2 linked regions of the Stegostoma tigrinum genome follow. The protein of the gene in region 1 purifies or fractionates together with the protein of each later gene. This does not show direct contact. Links are inferred from orthologs where the notes say so. Each region holds a gene or a part of one and is shown on either strand. Other genes may lie near its edges.

The links.
Region 2: the proteins of rpa2 (region 1) and hltf purify together in Homo sapiens (affinity purification with mass spectrometry, with the first as the bait; 3 studies listed by BioGRID). This does not show direct contact. The link is inferred for Stegostoma tigrinum from reciprocal best matches to the Homo sapiens genes RPA2 and HLTF.

Annotation. Positions count from the first base shown.
Region 1 is NC_081377.1:37,459,943-37,469,756, reverse strand, and holds the start of rpa2 (replication protein A 32 kDa subunit), read right to left. Parts: upstream 4,759-9,814; 5' UTR 4,284-4,758; intron 1-4,283. UniProt on the Homo sapiens protein: As part of the heterotrimeric replication protein A complex (RPA/RP-A), binds and stabilizes single-stranded DNA intermediates that form during DNA replication or upon DNA stress.
Region 2 is NC_081367.1:68,337,110-68,347,415, reverse strand, and holds the start of hltf (helicase-like transcription factor), read right to left. Parts: upstream 3,877-10,306; 5' UTR 3,783-3,876; coding exon 3,739-3,782; intron 3,731-3,738; exon of another isoform or gene 3,624-3,730; intron 3,527-3,623; exon of another isoform or gene 3,386-3,526; intron 2,950-3,385; exon of another isoform or gene 2,840-2,949; intron 1,794-2,839; coding exon 1,565-1,793; intron 1-1,564. UniProt on the Homo sapiens protein: Has both helicase and E3 ubiquitin ligase activities. Possesses intrinsic ATP-dependent nucleosome-remodeling activity; This activity may be required for transcriptional activation or repression of specific target promoters.

The DNA.
Region 1 (9,814 bases):
ATTAAATTAGAAACAATAATGATTTATCAAGAGATTGTGGGAAAAGCTCAGCAGGTCCTACAGCTGTGGAGAGAAATCAGAGTTAATGTTTCAGGTCAAGCAACCCTTCCTCAAACCCAAGTTCTGAGGAAGAGACACTCCACCTGAAATGTTAACTCTGACTTCTTTTCACAGATGCTGCCACACCTGTTGAGCTTTTCGAGCAATTTCTGTTCTTGTTTTTGTTTCTGGTTTACAGCATCCACAGTTCTCTCACTTTTTAATAGAACATAGAACAGTACAGCACAGAACAGGCCCTTCAGCCCACAATGTTGTGCCGACCATTGATCCTCATGGATGCACCCTCAAATTTCTGTGACCATATGCATGTCCAGCAGTCTCTTAAATGACCCCAATGACCTTGCTTCCACAACTGCTGCTGGCAACGCATTCCATGCTCTCACAACTCTCTGCGTAAAGAACCTGCCTCTGACATCCCCTCTATACTTTCCACCAACCAGCTTAAAACTATGACCCCTCGTGCTAGCCATTTCTGCCCTGGGAAATAGTCTCTGGCTATCGACTCTATCTATGCCTCTCATTATCTTGTATACCTCAATTAGGTCCCCTCTCCTCCTCCTTTTCTCCAATGAAAAGAGACCGAGCTCAGTCAACCTCTCTTCATAAGATAAGCCCTCCAGTCCAGGCAGCATCCTGGTAAACCTCCTCTGAACCCTCTCCAAAGCATCCACATCTTTCCTATAATAGGGCGCCCAGAACTGGACGCAGTATTCCAAGTGCGGTCTAACCAAAGTTTTATAGAGCTGCAACAAGATCTCACGACTCTTAAACTCAATCCCCCTGTTAATGAAAGCCAAAACACCATATGCTTTCTTAACAACCCTGTCCACTTGGGTGGCCATTTTAAGGGATCTATGTATCTGCACACCAAGATCCCTCTGTTCCTCCACGCTGCCAAGAATCCTATCCTTAATCCTGTACTCAGTTTTCAAATTCGACCTTCCAAAATGCATCACCTCGCATTTATCCAGGTTGAACTCCATCTGCCACCTCTCAGCCCATCTCTGCATCCTGTCAATGTCCCGCTGCAGCCTACAACAGCCCTCTACACTGTCAACGACACCTCCGACCTTTGTGTCGTCTGCAAACTTGCTGACCCATCCTTCAATTCCCTCGTCCAAGTCATTAATAAAAATTACAAACAGTAGAGGCCCAAGGACAGAGCCCTGTGGAACCCCACTCACCACTGACTTCCAGGCAGAATATTTTCCTTCTACTACCACTCGCTGTCTTCTGTTGGCCAGCCAATTCTGTATCCAGACAGCTAAGTTCCCCTGTATCCCATTCCTCCTGGCCTTCTGAATGAGCCTTCCATGGGGAACCTTGTCAAATGCCTTACTGAAGTCCATATACACCACATCCACAGCTTGACCCTCATCAACCTTACTAGTCACATCCTCAAAAAACTCGATAAGGTTTGTAAGGCATGACCTACCCCTCACAAAGCCGTGTTGACTGTATTTGATCAAGCCATGCTCTTCCAGATGGTCATAAATCTTATCCCTCAGAATCCTTTCTAACACCTTGCAGACGACAGACGTGAGACTTACCGGTCTATAATTGCCGGGGATTTCCCTATTTCCTTTCTTGAAGAGAGGAATTACATTTGCCTCTCTCCAGTCCTCAGGTACGACTCCAGTGGAGAGCGAGGATGCAAAGATCTTCGCAAGTGGCGAAGCAATTGCATTTCTCGCTTCCCAAAGCAGCCGAGGACAAATCTGATCCGGGCCTGGCGACTTGTCAATCTTAATGTTTGACAAAATTTTCAGTACATCAGCTTCCTCTATCTCTATCCATTCCAGCATGCACACCTGCTCTTCAAAGGTTTCATTCACTACACAGGTCGTTTCTTTCGTAAAGACAGAAGCAAAAAACTCATTTAGGGCTTCCCCTACCTCCTCAGGCTCCACACACAAGTTCCCTATGCTATCCCTGATCGGCCCTACTCTTTCTTTGACCATTCTCTTATTCCTCACGTAAGTGTAAAATGCCTTTGTGTTTTCCCGGATTCCTTCTGCCAAGCCTTTCTCGTGCCCCCTCCTGGCTCTCCTCAGACCATTTTTGAGCTCCTTCCTTGCCTGCATGTAATCCTCTCTAGCTGAACTTGACCCTAGCTTCCTCCACCTTATGTAAGCTACCTTCTTCCTTTTCACTAGAAGCTCCACCGCTCTCGTCATCCAAGGTTCCTTTATCTTACCCCGTCTTGCCTGTCTCAGAGGGACATATTTACTCATCACTCCCAACAACTGTTCCTTAAACCATCTCCACATGTCTATAGTTCCCTTACCATGGAACAACTGCTCCCAGTCCATGCTTCCTAACTCGTGTCTAATCGCATCATAGTTTCCTCTTCCCCAATTAAATATCCTCCCATTCTGCCTAATCCTCTCCTTCTCCATAGCTATGTAGAATGAGAGAGTGTTATGGTCACTATCACCAAAATGCTCTCCCACCACAAGATCTGATACCTGCCCCGGCTCGTTTCCGAGCACCAAGTCTAGAATGGCCTCTCCCCTCGTCGGCCTGTCAACGTACTGCGTTAGGAAACCCTCCTGAACACACCTTACAAAAACAGCTCCATTCAAATCTTCTGCTCGAAGGAGGTTCCAATCAATATTAGGAAAGTTAAAGTCACCCATTACAACAACCCTACTGCGTCCACACTTTTCCAAAATCTGTCAACCTATGCTTTCTACAATCTCCCTGCTGCTATTGGGGGGCCTGTAGTAAACCCCTAACGAGGTGACTACTCCCTTGCTGTTCCTAATTTCCACCCATACTGACTCAGTAGGCAGATCTTCCTCGACAATGGAAGCTTCTGTAGCTGTGATACCCTCTCTGATTAGTAGTGCTACACCCCCTCCTCTTTTTCCCCCCTCCCTATTCTTTTTAAATGTTCTAAACCCTGGAATATCCAGCAACCATTCCAGCCCATGAGAAACCCATGTCTCTGTTATGGCCACAACATCATAGCACCAGGTACTGATCCATGCTCTAAGTTCATCACTTTTATTCCTGATACTCCTTGCATTAAAGCAAACACACTTTAACCGATCCCTTGGTTCCTTCCCAGGAAAATCCTTCCCACTAGCTGGTCTACCTCTTGCTACTGCCTCACCTGCATCAACGCTCACCTCTGGTATACAGCTCAGGTTCCCACCCCCCCTGCCATACTAGTTTAAACCCTCTCGAACTACTCGAGCAAACCTTCCACCCAGGACATTGGTCCCCTTCCAGTTCAGATGCAACCCGTCCTTCTTGTACAGGTCCCACCTTCCCCAGAAGGCATCCCAATTATCAACATATCTGAAACCCTCCCTCCTACACCAGCTGCGTAGCCACGTGTTCAGCTGCGCCCGCTCCCTGTTCCTCACCTCGCTATCTCGTGGCACCGGTAGTAAACCAGAGAACACTACTCTGTTCGTCCTGCTCTGCAGCTTCCATCCTAACTCCCTGAAATCACTTTTTATATCCTCAAACCTATTTCTGGCTATATCATTTGTGCCAATATGTAACACGATTTCTGGCTGTTCACCCTCCCCTTTCAGAACTTTATACACCCGATCGGAGACGTCCCGGACCCTGGCACCAGGGAGGCAACATACCTTCCGGGAATCCCGATCTTGCCCACAAAATCTCCTGTCGATTCCCCTAACTATCGAGTCCCCTACCACGAGTACTTTTCTATTCTGCCCCCTTCCCTTCTTTGCCACAGTGTCAGACTCAGTGCCAGAGAACTGACTACTATGGCTTTCCTCTGGTAGGTCAACCCCCCCAGCAGTATCCAAAACGGTATACTTATTGCTGAGGGGAATGCCCACAGGGGATCTCTGCACTGTCTGTCTGTCCCCTTTCCTCCCCCTAACTGTAACCCATCTATCCTCGTCCTGAGCCTTAGGAGTGACCAACTCCCGATAACTCCTCTCAATTACCCCCTCTGCCTCCCGAATGATCCGTAGTTCATCCAGCTCCAGCTCCATTTCCCTAACACGGTTTTCAAGGAGCTGTAGCTGGGTGCACTTCCCACAGATGTAGCCAGCGGAGACGTGTGCCACATCTCCCAACTGCCACATTCTGCAGGAGGAGCAAGCAACTGCCCTAGCATCCATACCCCACTTATCTGAACACCCACTCAGTACTAAAGCAGAAAGCTCACTTCAAGTAATAATAACAAATTAATAACAAACTTATGTTCAATAGAGAAAGTTTAGAATGAACCTTACCTTATTAACTAGGTTAGAGGAGGAGGGCGGGTGGGAGACACTACAGTTGTAGAGTCTCAGGTTAAGCCGCCTTGCTGAGATATATGGTCACTGCTTTCCTTCCCGGCTGCCCCTCTGGTCCTCGTCACTTCCTCTGATGCTCCCGCTCCTTCTCTGAAAGAGCAAAAAAAACACCGCTGCCCGCTACCGGTAAGTAATTTTAAAAATAAACTGCTTTACCTTAGCTGCAGTCTTCCGGGTCCGTCTTGCCTCCGCTGCTGCTCGCACTCAAAAAGGCCGTTGGCGTCGAAGGGTGAGTATTTATACTCACTGCTTTCCTTCCCGGCTGCCCCTCTGGTCCTCGTCACTTCCTCTGATGCTCCCGCTCCTTCTCTGAAAGAGCAAAAAAAACACCGCTGCCCGCTACCGGTAAGTAATTTTAAAAATAAACTGCTTTACCTTAGCTGCAGTCTTCCGGGTCCGTCTTGCCTCCGCTGCTGCTCGCACTCAAAAAGCAAAAATGATTTATCAATCCATGTTTCAGTCTGGAATCTGACTAGTTCAGAAATAACATCAGTGTGATCAAAACAACAATGTTGTTTCTTATTCATAGCCTTCATATCACAATATGATTCCATACTCCAGCTGAAATTATGTGCATAGCACCCTCAGAGCCATAAAGCACAGGAACACATCCTTCGGTCCAACTTGTCCATGCCAACCAAGACTCCCAAACAAAAACTAGTCCCATTTGCCGATTTTTGGCCCACATCCCTCTAAACCATTCCTATTCATGCACCTGTTCAAATGACTTTTAAATGTTGTAATTTTACCTGCATCTACCACTTCTGCTGGCAGTTCATATGAATGACCCTCTGTGTGAAAATATTGCTTCTTAGATCCCTTTTAAATCGTTCTCCTGTCACCTTAAAAATATACCCACTGGTTTTGGACACCATCCCAGTTCCCGTTCCCCCACCTCTCCAACCTGAGGGAAAAGACCTTTGCTGTTAATCTTATCTATGCCTGTCATGATTTTATAAACCGCTACAGTCACCCCTTAACCTCCTACATTGCAGTGAATAGTCCCAGCCTATCCACCTTCTTCCTATAACTCAAACTTTCCAGTTCTCGTAACATTCTGGTAAATCTTTTCTGAACCTTCTCTAATTTAATAATATCCTTCCTACAGCAGGGTGACCAGAACTGGACATGGTACTCCAAAAGAGGCCTCACCAACATCCTGTACAGCCTCAACATTACGTCCCAACCCATAAATTCAGTGGTCTGAGCAATGAAGGCAAGCATGCTAAATGCCTTCTTAACCACCCTGTCTACCTGTGACACAGCTTTCAAAGAATTATGTACTTGGACCCCTAGGTCTCTGTTCAACAATACTACTCAGGGCCCTACCATTAACTGTATAAGTCCTGCCCTTGTTCGCTTTGCCTTGCATTTATCCAAATTAAACTCCGTCTGCTACTCCGCAGCCCATTGGCCTAATTGATCAAGATCTCTTTGTATTCTTAGATAACCTTCGCTGTTGACTATACAACCAATTTTGGTGTCATCTGCAAACTTAAGAACCCTGCATCCTAAATTCTCCTTTGAATCTTTTATGTAAATGACGAATAACAGTGGACCCAGTGTTCATCCCTGCAGAACACCACTGGTCAGAGGAGCCTCCAGTCTGAAAAACAACCCTCCACCACCACCCTCTGTGCCCTGTCAAATCAATTTTGTATCCAACCGAAAAAGGTGTCCTTGAATCCCATGTGAGCTAACTTTGCTAATCAGTCTACCATGCGGAACCTTATCAAAGGCTTTGTTAAAGTCCACGTAGACAACATCTACCTCTCCGCCCTCGTTAATCTTTTTGAATATGTCCTGAAAAACTCAAATCAATTTTGTGAAATATGATTTCCAACACACAAAGCCATGCTGACTATCCCTAATTAGTTCCTGCTCTCCAAATGCATGTAAATCCGGTCTCTCAGCATCACCTCCAACAACTTGTACATCGATCCTTGAAAGTGGAGTCACAGGTAGACAGGGTGGTGAAGAAAATGTTTGGCATGCTTGCCTTAATTGGTCATAACATTGAGTTTAGGAGTTGGAATGTCATGTTGCAGCTATGTAGGACATTGGTGAGGCCACTTTTCGAATATTGCATACAATTTTGGTTGTTCTTCTAAAGCAAGGATGTTGTTAAACTTTAGAGGTCACAGAAAAGATTTACAAGGATGTTGTCAGGACTGAAAGGTTTGACTGATAGGGAGTGGCTGAATAGGCTGGGTTTTTTTTTAGCCGTAGTGTCGGAGACTGAGGGGTAACCTTATGGAGGTTTATAAAATCATGAGAGACATGGACAGGGTGAATAGCCAAAATATATTTCCTAGGGTGGGGAGTCCAAAAGTAGAGGTTTGAGGTGAGAAGGGAAAGATTTAAAAAGGATCTTAGGGGTAACTTTTTCCACACAGAGAATGGTGTGTGTATGGAATGAGCTGCTGGAGGAAGTGGAGGAGTTGGATACAGTTACAACATTAAAAAGGCACTTGGATGAGTAAATTGTAGGAAGGATTTAAAGGAATATGAACCAAATGCTGGCAAATAGGGCTAGGTCAGACTGGGATGTCTGGTCATTGTGGATGAGTTGGACCAAAGGTCCTGTTTCCATGCTGCATGACTCTTCGATTTCATGACAATGTAAGTTACCTACCTCTGATCCCCAAATCAATGTTGTGAGTTCATGATTCAGTCTGTGGACTTGGTCACAAGATTCTAGTGGTAAGGGAGTGAGATGTGACCTTGCTGTTCATGAGAACTTGCTTTCTATCTCCTTTTGGACATTATGAAAATCCATTATTGTATATCTGAATGTTTCTGATCTAATCGTTTTTTTAAAGTATCTGTTTGGTGGAATTATAACTAAGGAAAGATTTGCACTTTCCTCAGGCTTCCAGATGTCCCAAAGTGCATTCCAGACAATTAAGTATTTTTTGAACTGTAGTCACTGTTGTAGGAAATGTAGCAGCTGTCTTACACAGAGTAAGGTAGCACAAACAACCAGATAACCAGTAATGGTTGATGAGGATCTCTTGTCCAAGTCACACAGGAAGAATTGCATAGTTTCATTTCAAAACAGTGGCATGAGCTCTTCTAACATTAGCTTAACAGAGCAGAGCAGTCTAGCCTCAGTTTAATATCCCACCTGAAAGTTAACACTTGTGAAAGTGTGCCATTCTTCTAGTACTGCACTAGACCATCACTTGAAATTGTATACTAAATATCTGGTGTGGTATTGGAAACCACGGCTTTCGGACCGCAGAAGCGAAGGCACTATTGAAATTACACACATGGCTTCATCCAACAGTTAGCCATAAGAAAAACAGATTTGTCGTTCTTGGTCTATTGTCATAACATCCCATTCAGAGATGATATGCAACAGGAAAAAGGTATGATCACAGATTTTAGTTTACTCCCTGTGAACTATCATGAGCATACTTAGTTGGTTCAACTGCCCAGATGATGTTTAACACTGTGAATTGTACAGTTGTAGAACACCACCATGCTTAACATGTATTAACATGCAAATATATATGCCACACATGAATTAGGAACAGGAGGAAGCTGCTCTGCCATTAAAAAGATCATTACAAAGACTCCGCTAAGAAAGTATTTCTTTTCTGCTTTAAACAGGCAGGCCTTATTTTTGAGCAGTGACCCCAAAGTCTAGATTGTCCCACTAGAGGAAACATCGTTTCCATACTCACCCTATCAAGCCTTTGTTTCAGTCAAGTCTTTGTTTTGTCTTCGAAACTCCAGTACATACAATCAGAACGTGCTAACCTTTCTTCATAAGAAAATTCACTCATTCCAGCTGTTAAATCTTCTCTGAATTATTTGCAACAAATTTACATCCTTCCTTAATCAACGAGATCAATACTGAACGCAGTACTACACATGCAGTCCATAAGGCCATTCGGCCCATCGAGTCCACTCCGCCATTTAATCGTGGCTGATGGGCATTTCAACTCCACTTACCCGCACTCTCCCTGTAGCCCTTGATTCCTTGTGAGATCAAGAATTTATCAATCTCTGCCTTGAAGATATTTAATGTCCTGGCCTCCACTGTGGTCCGTGGCAATGAATTCCACAGGCCCACCACTCTCTGGCTGAAGAAATGTCTCCTCATTTCCATTTTAAATTTACCCCCTCTAGTTATAAGGCTGTGCCCACTGGTCCTAGTCTCCCCACCTAATGGAAACAACTTGCCAGCATCCACCCTCTCTAAGCCATACATTATCTTGTAAGTTTCTATTAGATCTCCCCTCAACCTTCTAAACTGTAATGAATACAATCCCAGGATCCTCAGCCATTCATCGTATGTTAAACCTACCATTCCAGGGATCATCTGTGTGAATCTCCGCTGGACATGCTCCAGTGTCATTATGTCCTTCCTGAGGTGTGGGGCCCAAAATTGGACACAGTATTCTAAATGGGGCCTAACTTGAGCTTTATAAAGCCTCAGAAGCACAAATCTCCCCAATACCCTGTATTAAAAGGGTAGGCAATGGCCTAGTAGTATCATCACTAGACTATTAGGCCAGAGATCTTGGTAAAGTCCTGGGGGCCTCAGTTTGAATCCTGACATAGTAGATGGAGGAATTTGAATTCAAGTAAAAATGTGGAATTAAGAGGTGAACGAGGACCACGAAACCATTGTTGATTGTCAGGAAAAACCCGTTTGGTTCCGAATGTCCTTTGGGGATGGAAATTGTCATCCTTTTCTTATTCTAGGCTACATGTGACTCCAGACCCACAGCAATGTTGGCTGACACTTAGCTGTCCCCTGGGCAGTTAGGGATGGGCAACAAATTACTGGCCTAGCCAGTGACGCCCACATCCCATGAATGAATAAAAGAAACTAAAGCATGACCTCTCCAGTTTGGTATTTAATTTCCCAATATAAATACAGAGAGAGAGTAAGGAAAATTCAGTACGGCACACTAGCTTCCCTTTCCTGAGTTAAATCAACTCCTTCAGTTTGAAGCTTCTCTGATTCCCTGCATTCACTAATATTCTATCACAAGTTGAGTGTAATGGCCATCAATTGGGAGAAGGTGCAGAAGAAGTTGAAAGGTGGATAATACACCTTGCCCAGATGGTCCACACCCCAGGGTACTGAAGGACAGGTCTAAGGAAATTGTGGTGGTCTTTCAGGAATCACTGAAGTCAGTGAAGGTCCCAGTGGACTGGAAAATGGCTAATGTAACACGTCTGTTTAAGAAGGGAAGGAAGCCAAAGATGGGAAATTGTAGACCAATTAGTCTGACTTCAAATAAAACTGAAAGTACTGTGGATGCTGTAAATCAGGAACAAAAACAAAGCTGCTGGAAAAGCTCAGCAGGGTTTTGAGGAAGGATCACCGGACCCAAAATATTAATTTTGATTTTTCCTTCACAGATGCTGCCAGACCTGCTGAGTTTTTCCAGCAACTTTGTTTTTGAATCTGACTCCAATCATCAGTAAGATTTAGAGCCCATTATTAA
Region 2 (10,306 bases), on another chromosome or scaffold:
GGTTGTATGGTGCAGTGGGGGGAGGGGACGAACTGGGCTGGTTTAGGGATGCAGTGGGGGAAGGGGAGATTTTGAAGCTGGTGAAGTCCACATTGATGCCATTAGGCTGCAGGGTTCCCAAGCGGAATATGAGTTGCTGTTCCTGCAACCTTCGGGTGGCATCATTGTGGCACTGCAGGAGGCCCATGGCTTCCCCATCCCACTCGTCATGCACAAACAAACTGGAGAAATTGAAGGAATGTAGGTGGAATGTTTAGATTGAGATGTAAAGGTCTGAGTATTCAGGGGTCTGGATCAGAGGTAAGTAAATTGAATTAATGGACAGATCATTGTCTTCTAAGAAAAAGGAAAATAAGACCCTGTTCCTATCGTTATAAAGTTGTAATCAGATCAGTGAGATTGTTCACAAATAATAAACTATAGATTTCACAGCAGACAACTGAGCCCATTTACTTTTCAAAATGCACAACATCTTCAATTTGTCTGGAATGTCTAATAAGCAATGCCTTTCATGAAGTTAAATATTGGGAAGGCTGAAGGCACCCTCTTTGGTTCCCATCACAAACTCTGTTCCCTTGCTCCTGGTTCCATCCTTCTCCCTGGCATTTTCCAAGACTAAAACAGATGGTGCAACCCAGGTAGACAGAATTCATCCTGAGATGAGATCACAGGCACATGTCCATGTAAGTACAAGGACCTAATCCATCTACCTGTGAAATGCCTGACTTTGCCCCCAGTTCAACTCCTGTGTTGCTCAAACCCTTTTCACTGTTTTTACTCCTAGTCTTGATTTTTCCAACACAATTTTAGCTGGCCTCCCATATTCTACTTTTCCACAAACTTGACATTGTCCAAAATTCTGCTATCCCCATCCATATTCGTACAGAGTCCCACTCATCCATCACTCCAGGAAGCACGGATGTCGGGTCAAGCAACATGGCCGCTTAAAAATTCTTATCGCAATTCTCAAGAATCTCCATGGCCTGGCCCCTCCCTATCTCTATCATCAACTCCAGCCCCACAACCCTCTGGTGTACCTGCACTCATCTATTTCTGACCTCTTGAACCTATTATTTTAAATGGTGATACTTTCTTTTCAAACTTAACCTATTCGGAGATGTCAGTACTCTGGAGTAAGTGGGACTCGAACCAGGGTCGACTCGACCAGAGATAAAGGACACCATCGCTGCACTACCATAGCCCCTCCTCCCTCAATTTTAATTGGTCCACAATAGGTAGAAGTGCCTTTAGCTGTCTAAGTTTGACCATTTCTTCAGTAACCTGCCCATTACTCTTCTTCCCTTCCATCCACTGAGACACTCCTTAAAATCTACTGCTTTGGTCATCTGGCCCTATGTTGGTTTATGGGGCTAAGTATCTTTAAAATACTCCCACGACGCAACTTAGGTCTTTTTGCTGTGGGAGAGGTATTATATAAATGTACTTTTAGGTTTTTGAATCCCAACTGTTAAATCAATAATAAATAGGTAACTGAAGGTATGGCAAATTGAAGATTTAAACGCAGCTATTTAATATTACGCTAGATTGGAGGGACAAGTCTTACCACTCCTGTATAATAACGCATCCCAACCACATTCCCACGGAGGTTTCCAAATAAAACAGAATCCAGATCCTCATCTGGTGACGCAGTGTCATCTGTTAACGAACGATTTATCATCTGAGATAATGACTCTTCAGGATCCGGAGCAAATAGAAAACTGCCATCAGAAAACTGGGATGCAGTTCGTCCACCCAGATACTGGGAATTAGTCCAATTCCGCCAGAACAACATGCTGCGGGAACAAAAGAAAACCATGATTTGTAACCCTCCTCGAGAGAAATGACAAGGTATTTAAACTGACGGAAAACTCTTCTGTCCTCGAGCCTAGCAAATCTTTGTTGCTGTGCCCATCATAAACTCTCAGTTTTAAGAGCTCCTGCAAGATTAAAGAAACAGATTCCCACATATGTTTGCTTTGGAAATGCTGCATGATCCCTCACAGTAGAATGACATCTCTGAGCACACACTGTAATCAGCAAGTGGTGGCACCTATCTGACAGCTTGAGTTAGTCTTGCTTTACACATCATCTGGAAGCACAGAGCATTTTACACTTTACAAGAGAAAAAATAAACGAAGGTGCTCTGCTGTGACTTCAAATAAACCTGTTGGACTATAACTTGGAGTCGTGTGACTTCTGACTTCGTCCAAGAAAGAAAAATGGAGGGTTAAAAAACGTCTTTGTTATACTGCTTAATGGAGTGAAATTCAGCCGTTCAAAATTAGCACTTCAAGTAAGAAACTGCTACCTACTTACACTCTCCCTAATAGCATTAGAACACAATTAGCACATTGATGTAATTAGACAGAAATAGTGGAGAAACTCAGCAGGTCTGGCAGCATCTGAAGACAGAAAGAGAGTTAACATTTTGGGTTCAGTGACCCATCTTCAGAACTGGCATGTAGAATTTAGCATGCAGGTAGTTTACACAGATTGCATAACCATTATTCAGCCATGTTTTGGCATAGCATGGTATCCTGCAGATAAAACCCATTTTGCCAGGCAGTCTTACTAGTGCCTCACATACCTAGGCACGGAAAAGCTTATGTAGGAAGGGTCACCGGGCCCTAAACGTTAACTCTGACTTTTTCCTTCACAGGTGCTGCCAGATCTGCTGAGCTTTTCCAGCAATTTCTGTTTTCGTTCCTGATTTACAGCATCCGCAGTTCTTTCAGTTTTTTTTAAGTTATGTAGGTAGGTGGTCCACCGTGGAGCAGATTATCATAAACCCATCACTAGTTAACACAAGTTTTACTTGACTATTTTTCACTAAACGGACCCGATAATGTTAGCAGATTCGAACACTTTTGCTAAACAGAGACCTCCCTGAACAGTATATTTTGTTCCCTTTGAATTTGCATCTTTGACCCAGCGCCTGGATTTGATGCAGATAACAGACCGGGGAGTAAAAGGCTCCTGACTAAAAAGCAACAACATATTGAGGCTGGGAGTGACGATGAACGCTGTGTTGGTGGGTGTTTTTTCTGGAAATGTTGTCATGCACTCAAGAAAAAAACACAACAACAAAATCTCCCCTTGGCTGTGGCTGAGTATGTCAGGCCCCAAAAACAAGGCTTGCTGTTGGTGAGTCATTCTCTCCATGCCGCCTGCAGCCAGCCCCTGCTCCTGACATTTACCTGAGACTACAAACCTTTTATGCAAAAATAGGACGGCATGATGTGAAGGCAGATTGCTTTGAGCTTCCAGCACTGCATTTCTAGCCAGCGCTCTAGGTTTTGTGCAGAGCTCTGCAATAAAGCCTTCTCCAAACACTTTTCTTTTGCTGCTCTTAAACCGCAACGCGCGCAGAAAAGCTTTATTCTACCTCTGCAAATAATCTTCAGACCAAAATCAAATCTTCCCTCCTGCCAGTGACTTGCAAAGGGTATCTTTCGTATAAAAACAAAGGCCAAACATAAAGCCCGGCCACTCCACAAACCCAGCTCCTTTCACTTTCGCCCTGGCTGGCGCGGTTCCTGCTGATTGACACGGCTCTCAGCCACACAGAGCAGCCCTTCACCAGGCAGCAACGTATCAGGGCAAGGAGTGGGTGGGACACTCACCCATGGACGAGATACAACCTCTCGATACATTGTGGCGGCTGACCAGCTAGTGATCCCCATTCATGAAGACAGCATGGTACTATTCGTACAGGTGGTGCAGTGGCAGTGTCCCTACCTCTGAGCCAGGGCAAAGTCAGAAGTCACACGACACCAGGTCATGGTCCAACAGGTTTATCCGAAATCGCAAGCTTTCGAGGCATTGCCCCGACTTCACCTGACGAAGGAACAGCGCTTCAAACTTTGTGATCTCAAATGGAGAGAGTAGGAACTGCTGATGCTGGAGAATCTGAGATAACAAGGTGTAGAACTGAATGAACACAGGAGGCCAAGCAGTATCAGAGGAGCAGGAAAGCTGACGTTTCGGGTCAGGACTGAAGGGTCTTAAGGGTCCTGACGTGAAACATCAAGCCTTCCTGCTCCTCTGATGCTGCTTGGCCTGCTGTGTTCATCCAGCCTCACACCGTGGTTTCAAGTAGATTTGTTGGACTATAACTTGGTGTCGTGTCACTTCTGACTTTGTCTACCCCGGTTCAAAACCAAAACCAGCACCTCCACGTCTGAGCCAGAAGGCCTGGGTTCAAGTCTCACCTGTGCCAGAGGTGTGTAATGACATCTCTAAACAGGTTGATTGAGAAATGTTTAGATTTTCTTTTAAATTAACTAGTTCAGGGATGTTAGTACATACCTCTGGAGCAGGTGGGAATTAAACCCAGCCCTCATTAACCCAGGGGTAGGGACATTAGCATTGTGCCCCAAGAACCCCTCACCCAGAGGTAGGGGCATTACTAATATGCCTCAAGAAACCCCTTACTCAGAGACATTGACATTAGCATTGTGCACAAGAGCCCCTAACTCACAGGTAGGGACAATACCAATATGCCACAAGAACCCACTAACTCAAAGAGAGCAACATTAGCATTGTGCCACAACAGCTCCTAACCCAGAGTAGGGACATTACTAATAATGCCTTAAGAGCCCCCCCCCCCAGCTCAGAGGTAGGGACACTACAAGAGCCCGTAATTTTGGAGATATTACATTTGTTCTTTGCTTCCAGCTGTCCCCTAATTAACAGAGATGTTATGACACACTTCTGGATCTGGTGAGATTTGAACCCAAGCCTTCTAACTCAAAGGTAGAGACATTACTATTGTGCAAGAACAGGTCCCCAGTTCAGAGGTAGGGATATGTCTATTACATCAAAAGAGCCCTTAAAATTGGAAATATTACTTTTGATCTAAATTCAGTTCTGAGGAAGGCATACCGGACTTGAAAAGTTAACTCTGGTTTGTCCTGTATAAAAACAAGCAAAGCTGGAAATATTCTGCTGGCGCAGCAGACAGAAACAAGAATTTCAATGTGCTTCAGATCTGCAACTTTTCATAAAATGTTAACTCATGTTTCCCTCAATCTGCAGATACTGCTTTGTTGAGCATCTCTTGCAATTTCTGTTATTACTTCAGATTTCCAGCGTGTGTCACTTTCATATTTTAGATATTAATTTTATTTAATCTCAGGGATCTTATTTCTCCTGCTCCATGCTGCAGAATGCCCTGGACGTTTTTCCCAATGTCATTTTTAGGCACACAAGCAGAGATAAAAACCGATTCTGATTTCCACAAGTGGGTTCCAATTCGTTCATCAAAGTTTAAAATACTCTTGTTCAACATAATGGTGGTTGAATTACACCTGAGTTCAGTAAACACTCTCATTAACACAATTAACAAATTGGGTCACCTTACCTCAACTGGTAATGTTATTGCTCCCTGATAAATTTTACTTTTTTGTACGCTGTTTGACATTTTTGATACACTAGTGCCTGTTGAAATTTAACTAATTTTGAGTTATATTTACTCCAAGAATTTGCCTTTATTTGCGCTAATTGTCATTGGATATTTCCAATCAATTTCCTATCAACAGGCCCATGAATAACAGTAACCTAGCATGGTGGGAAAATTGCTCAGTTGTGTGTGATAGGACTTCAGGGTGTAAAAATAAAAGCACACTAGCAGCTTAAAGCAGCCAGTATTGCAGATAGTGCAAGGTCTTTCATTCAAGTGACAGCTTGTTTGTCATTCAAATAGGTACAGGAGTACTTGCAATGCTGAATAAACGACATCTCTTCCCAAAAAGAGAAGAGAATTCATAGATTATAGACAAACCAAGTGTACCGGAAGCTGGATATTTAAAGGTCTTGAGTAGATTGCAGCTCAATGCTGTGGTTGGTTGGCTCACCGAGCTGGTTCGTTAATTTGCAGATGTTTCATTACCCCGCTGGGTAACATCTTCAGTGCAGCCTCCGACAAAGTATTGTTGTGTCTTTCCTCCTGTTATTTAAACTCTGGGGTCCATTGGAGTTGATTACCTCATTTCTGGTTTTTCTTTGCAGTGATGCGCTTCTAGAGTCTAATTCTAGATGTTTATTGAGTACCCATTATGGACAGGGCCAACGTAATATACAAGATTTCATGCAAGGGCTGTGACAAACATTACATTGGACAGACAGGAAGGAAACTGGCTATGAGAATACATGAACACCAAGCAACAACAAAAAAAACACAACCAATACTCACTCGTCTCCATACATGCAGACAAGGAAAACCACCAGTTTGATGGGAAAATGTCAGGATCCTAGGACAAGCCAAACAAGAAGGCCATCAATAAGCACACAGAATTGGACCCTATGTACACACCACTGCAAAGAAAAACCTGAGGTGAGGTAATCAACTCCAGCGGTCCCCAGAGTTTAAATATTTAAGTGGGAAAACATAACACTTCATCGGAGGCTGTACTGATGATGCTATCCAGCAGGCTAATGAAACATCTGTGATTTAACAAACCAACCACAACAGGAAGCTGGGATAGATTGTGAAGTTTTTTTTTACATGGTTTGGACTTTCAAACCCAAACTTCCATCACAAATACAGGAAATGCTGGCAGTCAAGGTGCCAGAAAGTCATATCGATACTTCTTCAATACACAACCCTCGGGCTGGCTGTAAGCGGGTTTCCGCCCAGAGCTTTGTCACCTCTACGGTCTTGGCTTCCACTGTTCTCTGTTGTCTGTCAGGCCCAATTTCTCCAGCTATGGGTCAATCTAAAATGACCAATTTTGGGCCCGTGGTCATGATCACAAAAGGGAATTGGAACTTTAAAAAACCTTGAATTTTCAAAGAGAGAAGGAGATCAAAAAGCATGATCTGGATAGAGTGAAGCTTATTGTAAAAGGAGGGAAGAACAGATAGTCGCTCAGAGAATAATTCTGATACCTATGAAGGATTTGATTTTACCGTAAATCTGGTGTGGTGCCTAAATTCACTGATGCTGGTTTTAAATACATTTCACATCATTTTAAAAGATTGCTGGGAAGCTGAAATGGTCGAACCATATTTGGACCTTAATCTTCTTGGCTGTTCTTAAGTTTTTATTCATACTTCATCCAGCATAATTGCCTATCGATTTCACTTGACAAAGGAGCAGCATTCTGAAAGCTTGTGATTTTAAATAAATCTGTTGGACTATAACCTGGCATCATGAGATTTCTGACATTGTTCACCCCTGTCCAACATCCATGTCCCTACATCATCTCAATTGTAAGAGCTATTATGGATGGAGAATAAATGCCAGTCTGCACCACAAAACATGAACAAAAACATCTATTAATAATTGCTTACAGAACTCAAGGATTTTTAAAAAAGAGACTCAGAGCCAAAGCTATTTGTCTTTCACTGATTAGGACTGGTACACAAGATACCAAAAGGAACATCAATTTATACTACTTCTATAAAAGCTTTTGTTTATATTTCTATACTTGTATAAAGAGAGTGTTGATTGGTTGCATCTTAGTGGGTGTGGACATGCAGCAGGAAATGTTAACTGTCGATCTTTGTTAGCTAACTAAACTCATACCGGTAGATTTACTCAGACTGCCATGAGGAATGCAGGGAGGGGTTGTCGGTCTCCATTTTTCTCTTCAGTGAAAAATGTACAATATAAAAACAAATTCCTTTTCCTATTAAAAAAGGATCCAATCAATTTGTATATATTTTCTCAAGCTTTGTGAATTAATACTTGCTTTCTAATAAGGGTTTCCTGCATAATTTACAATCAAGTATTTTAATTATCAACACAAACATAAATATATCACCAAGATAACTGGGAAATTTATTTCCTGTAATTAAACATATTTCAAATGAGGCTTAAAGTAGACAATCCAGAACAGACATAAGTGTTCTAAATGAAGTCACACGTCCACACAGCTAGAATTTCAACATTAAAGCTGCAGTACTGGATTTTAGATGTTCACTTTTAGTAACAAGTTGCATCCATTTAAAACGGACTTTCTTGCAGATGTCAAACTTGGGCGGTCTTCACTAAATCCATCGGTCTGTCTTGATTAAAAAATGAAAATGAAATTGAATCAATTTAAAATTATCAGATAGTACATATTTACACTTTACACAACAAACTTCTGCTGCTTTATGTCTCCAGCTGAAGTAATGTTTTAATTCAATTGTTACTCCTTTTCATATCTATGGAAACAGTTTGTTTTCATTTCCTCTAACAAAACCCTTCAAATTCTGACAACTTCTAGTAAATCTACTTAACTAGAAGGAAACAGTATCTGCTTCTCACACCTCATCTCACATATCAATGTGAGGAAATGGCCTAATGGTATAAATACAGGACTGTTAATCCAAAGACAAAAGCAGAAGTTGCTAGAAAAGCTCAGTAGGTCTGGCAGCATCTGTGGAGAGAAATCAGAGTTAATGTTGTGGGTCCGATGACCCTTCCTCAGAACCTGAGCCGAAACATTAGCTCTGATTTCTCTCTACAGATGCTGCCAGTTCTGCTGAGCTTTTCAAACAATTTCTATTTTTGTTTCTGATTTACAGCATCTGCAGTTCTTGCAGTTTTTGTTAACCCAAAGACCCAGCTAATGTTCTGGGGATTTGGGCTCAAATTCCTCGACAGCAGATGGTGGAATTTGAATTTAATAGAATAAATCTGGAATTTGTAGGCTAAAGATGACTATAAATCCATTGCTGATATCAGGAAAAACCCATCTGGTTCACTAGCCTTAAGGGAAGGAAGCTGCCTTCCTTACCTGGTCTGGTCTACATGTGACTCCACACCTGTAGCAATATGGTTGACCCCTAAGAGTCCTCTGGCCTAGCCAGCAACACCCTCTTCCCATGAAATGAATGATAAATAAAAATTATAGCAGACTGAGATCACAAGAAAGTCTTATGCTAATTTTATGCAGATGATTCTTCACCAGCAGTGGGGTTTAAAATTGAACCATTAAATACACAAATATTGCATGCCATGTGTACTTCTGCTGCACATACCTAGGATTTATTTTTAAAAGCTTCCATTATCTACAGCTAATTCATATATTTCCATGATGAATGGATAGATCACATAGTTTACAATATACAGTTACATATAGAAATTGATATGTGAACAAGGAATCATTATGCCACATATGAAAATAAAGATGACTTCTCTCCAAGGTGTACTATGCGAAAACAGTCGGTTCTGGATTAAAGATAACAAGGTGTAGAGCTGGATGAACACAGCAGGCCAAGCAGCATCGGGGGAGCCGGAAGGCTGACGTTTCGGGCCTAGACCCTTCTTTTCTGAAGAAGGGTCTAGGCCCAAAACATCAGCCTTCCTGCTCCTCTGATGCTGCTTGGCCTGCTTGTTCATCCAGCTCTACACCTTGTTATCTCAGACTCTCGAGCATCTGCAGTTCCTACTATCTCTGTTCTGAATTGAAGGTTATTTGTATATGAAATTAAGAATACGAATTAAAATAGCAATAGCTTACAACCAATAAGCAGAAAATTTTATATGATTACCAGAATCAGTTTACATCCACAATGTTATTTATTATAATTTGGATAAACCACAAGTTAAAAAGTGTCTACATAAAATTTTCAAAGTGTTCAAAACGTATATGAAGAAAGCCAACTTCACACTGTTGATTTTTCTGACCTCCAACTAGGGACAAGAATGAGAAATACACAAGTGACTGTCAACGTATAAGGACTTTCCTCAAAAACACCCCCAGGTTGGATAAACATACATCTTAATTTGAGAAACTTAACATCACAACTAAGATTGAGATCCGCAAATATGGAACGGCAAGGAAGCAGACTTCCAAAGTAATGGAGTAGAAACATCCTTACAGAGTAATAATTCTCATTTTAACGATGTTTTAGTTGTAGCATTTATACTCTTGTACCTCTAGCTTCTTAATGAATCCAAATCTGGAATCAATCGGACTTTTGGTTCTTTCTAACAGACCTCGAGTGAAATCTGTATCCTATACAAGAAAGGAAAGATAAGGTAAATCACTCTACAAATGTATGTCATTCACCATTTTTAAATAACTAACTGCTGTGCAGAAGGTTCTAAGAAAAAACAAAAATCAACAAAATATTGTTATCATAGGAATTGCTTCTCCATTTGAAAGAGGTTTCCAGGATAAGATTACAGTCAATTTATCATGATCTTCAGCAGCAATATAAAACACAATTTCCCTGAAACTCACTGCTTTGCTTCAACTTTTCTCCTTTACTACGTTAAAGTTAAAACATTCCACACCACTCATGATTCAAACATCCTTCTCAGGATACAAAAACTGAAAATATTTATTACATCTGTTGGTCATTCCTTACT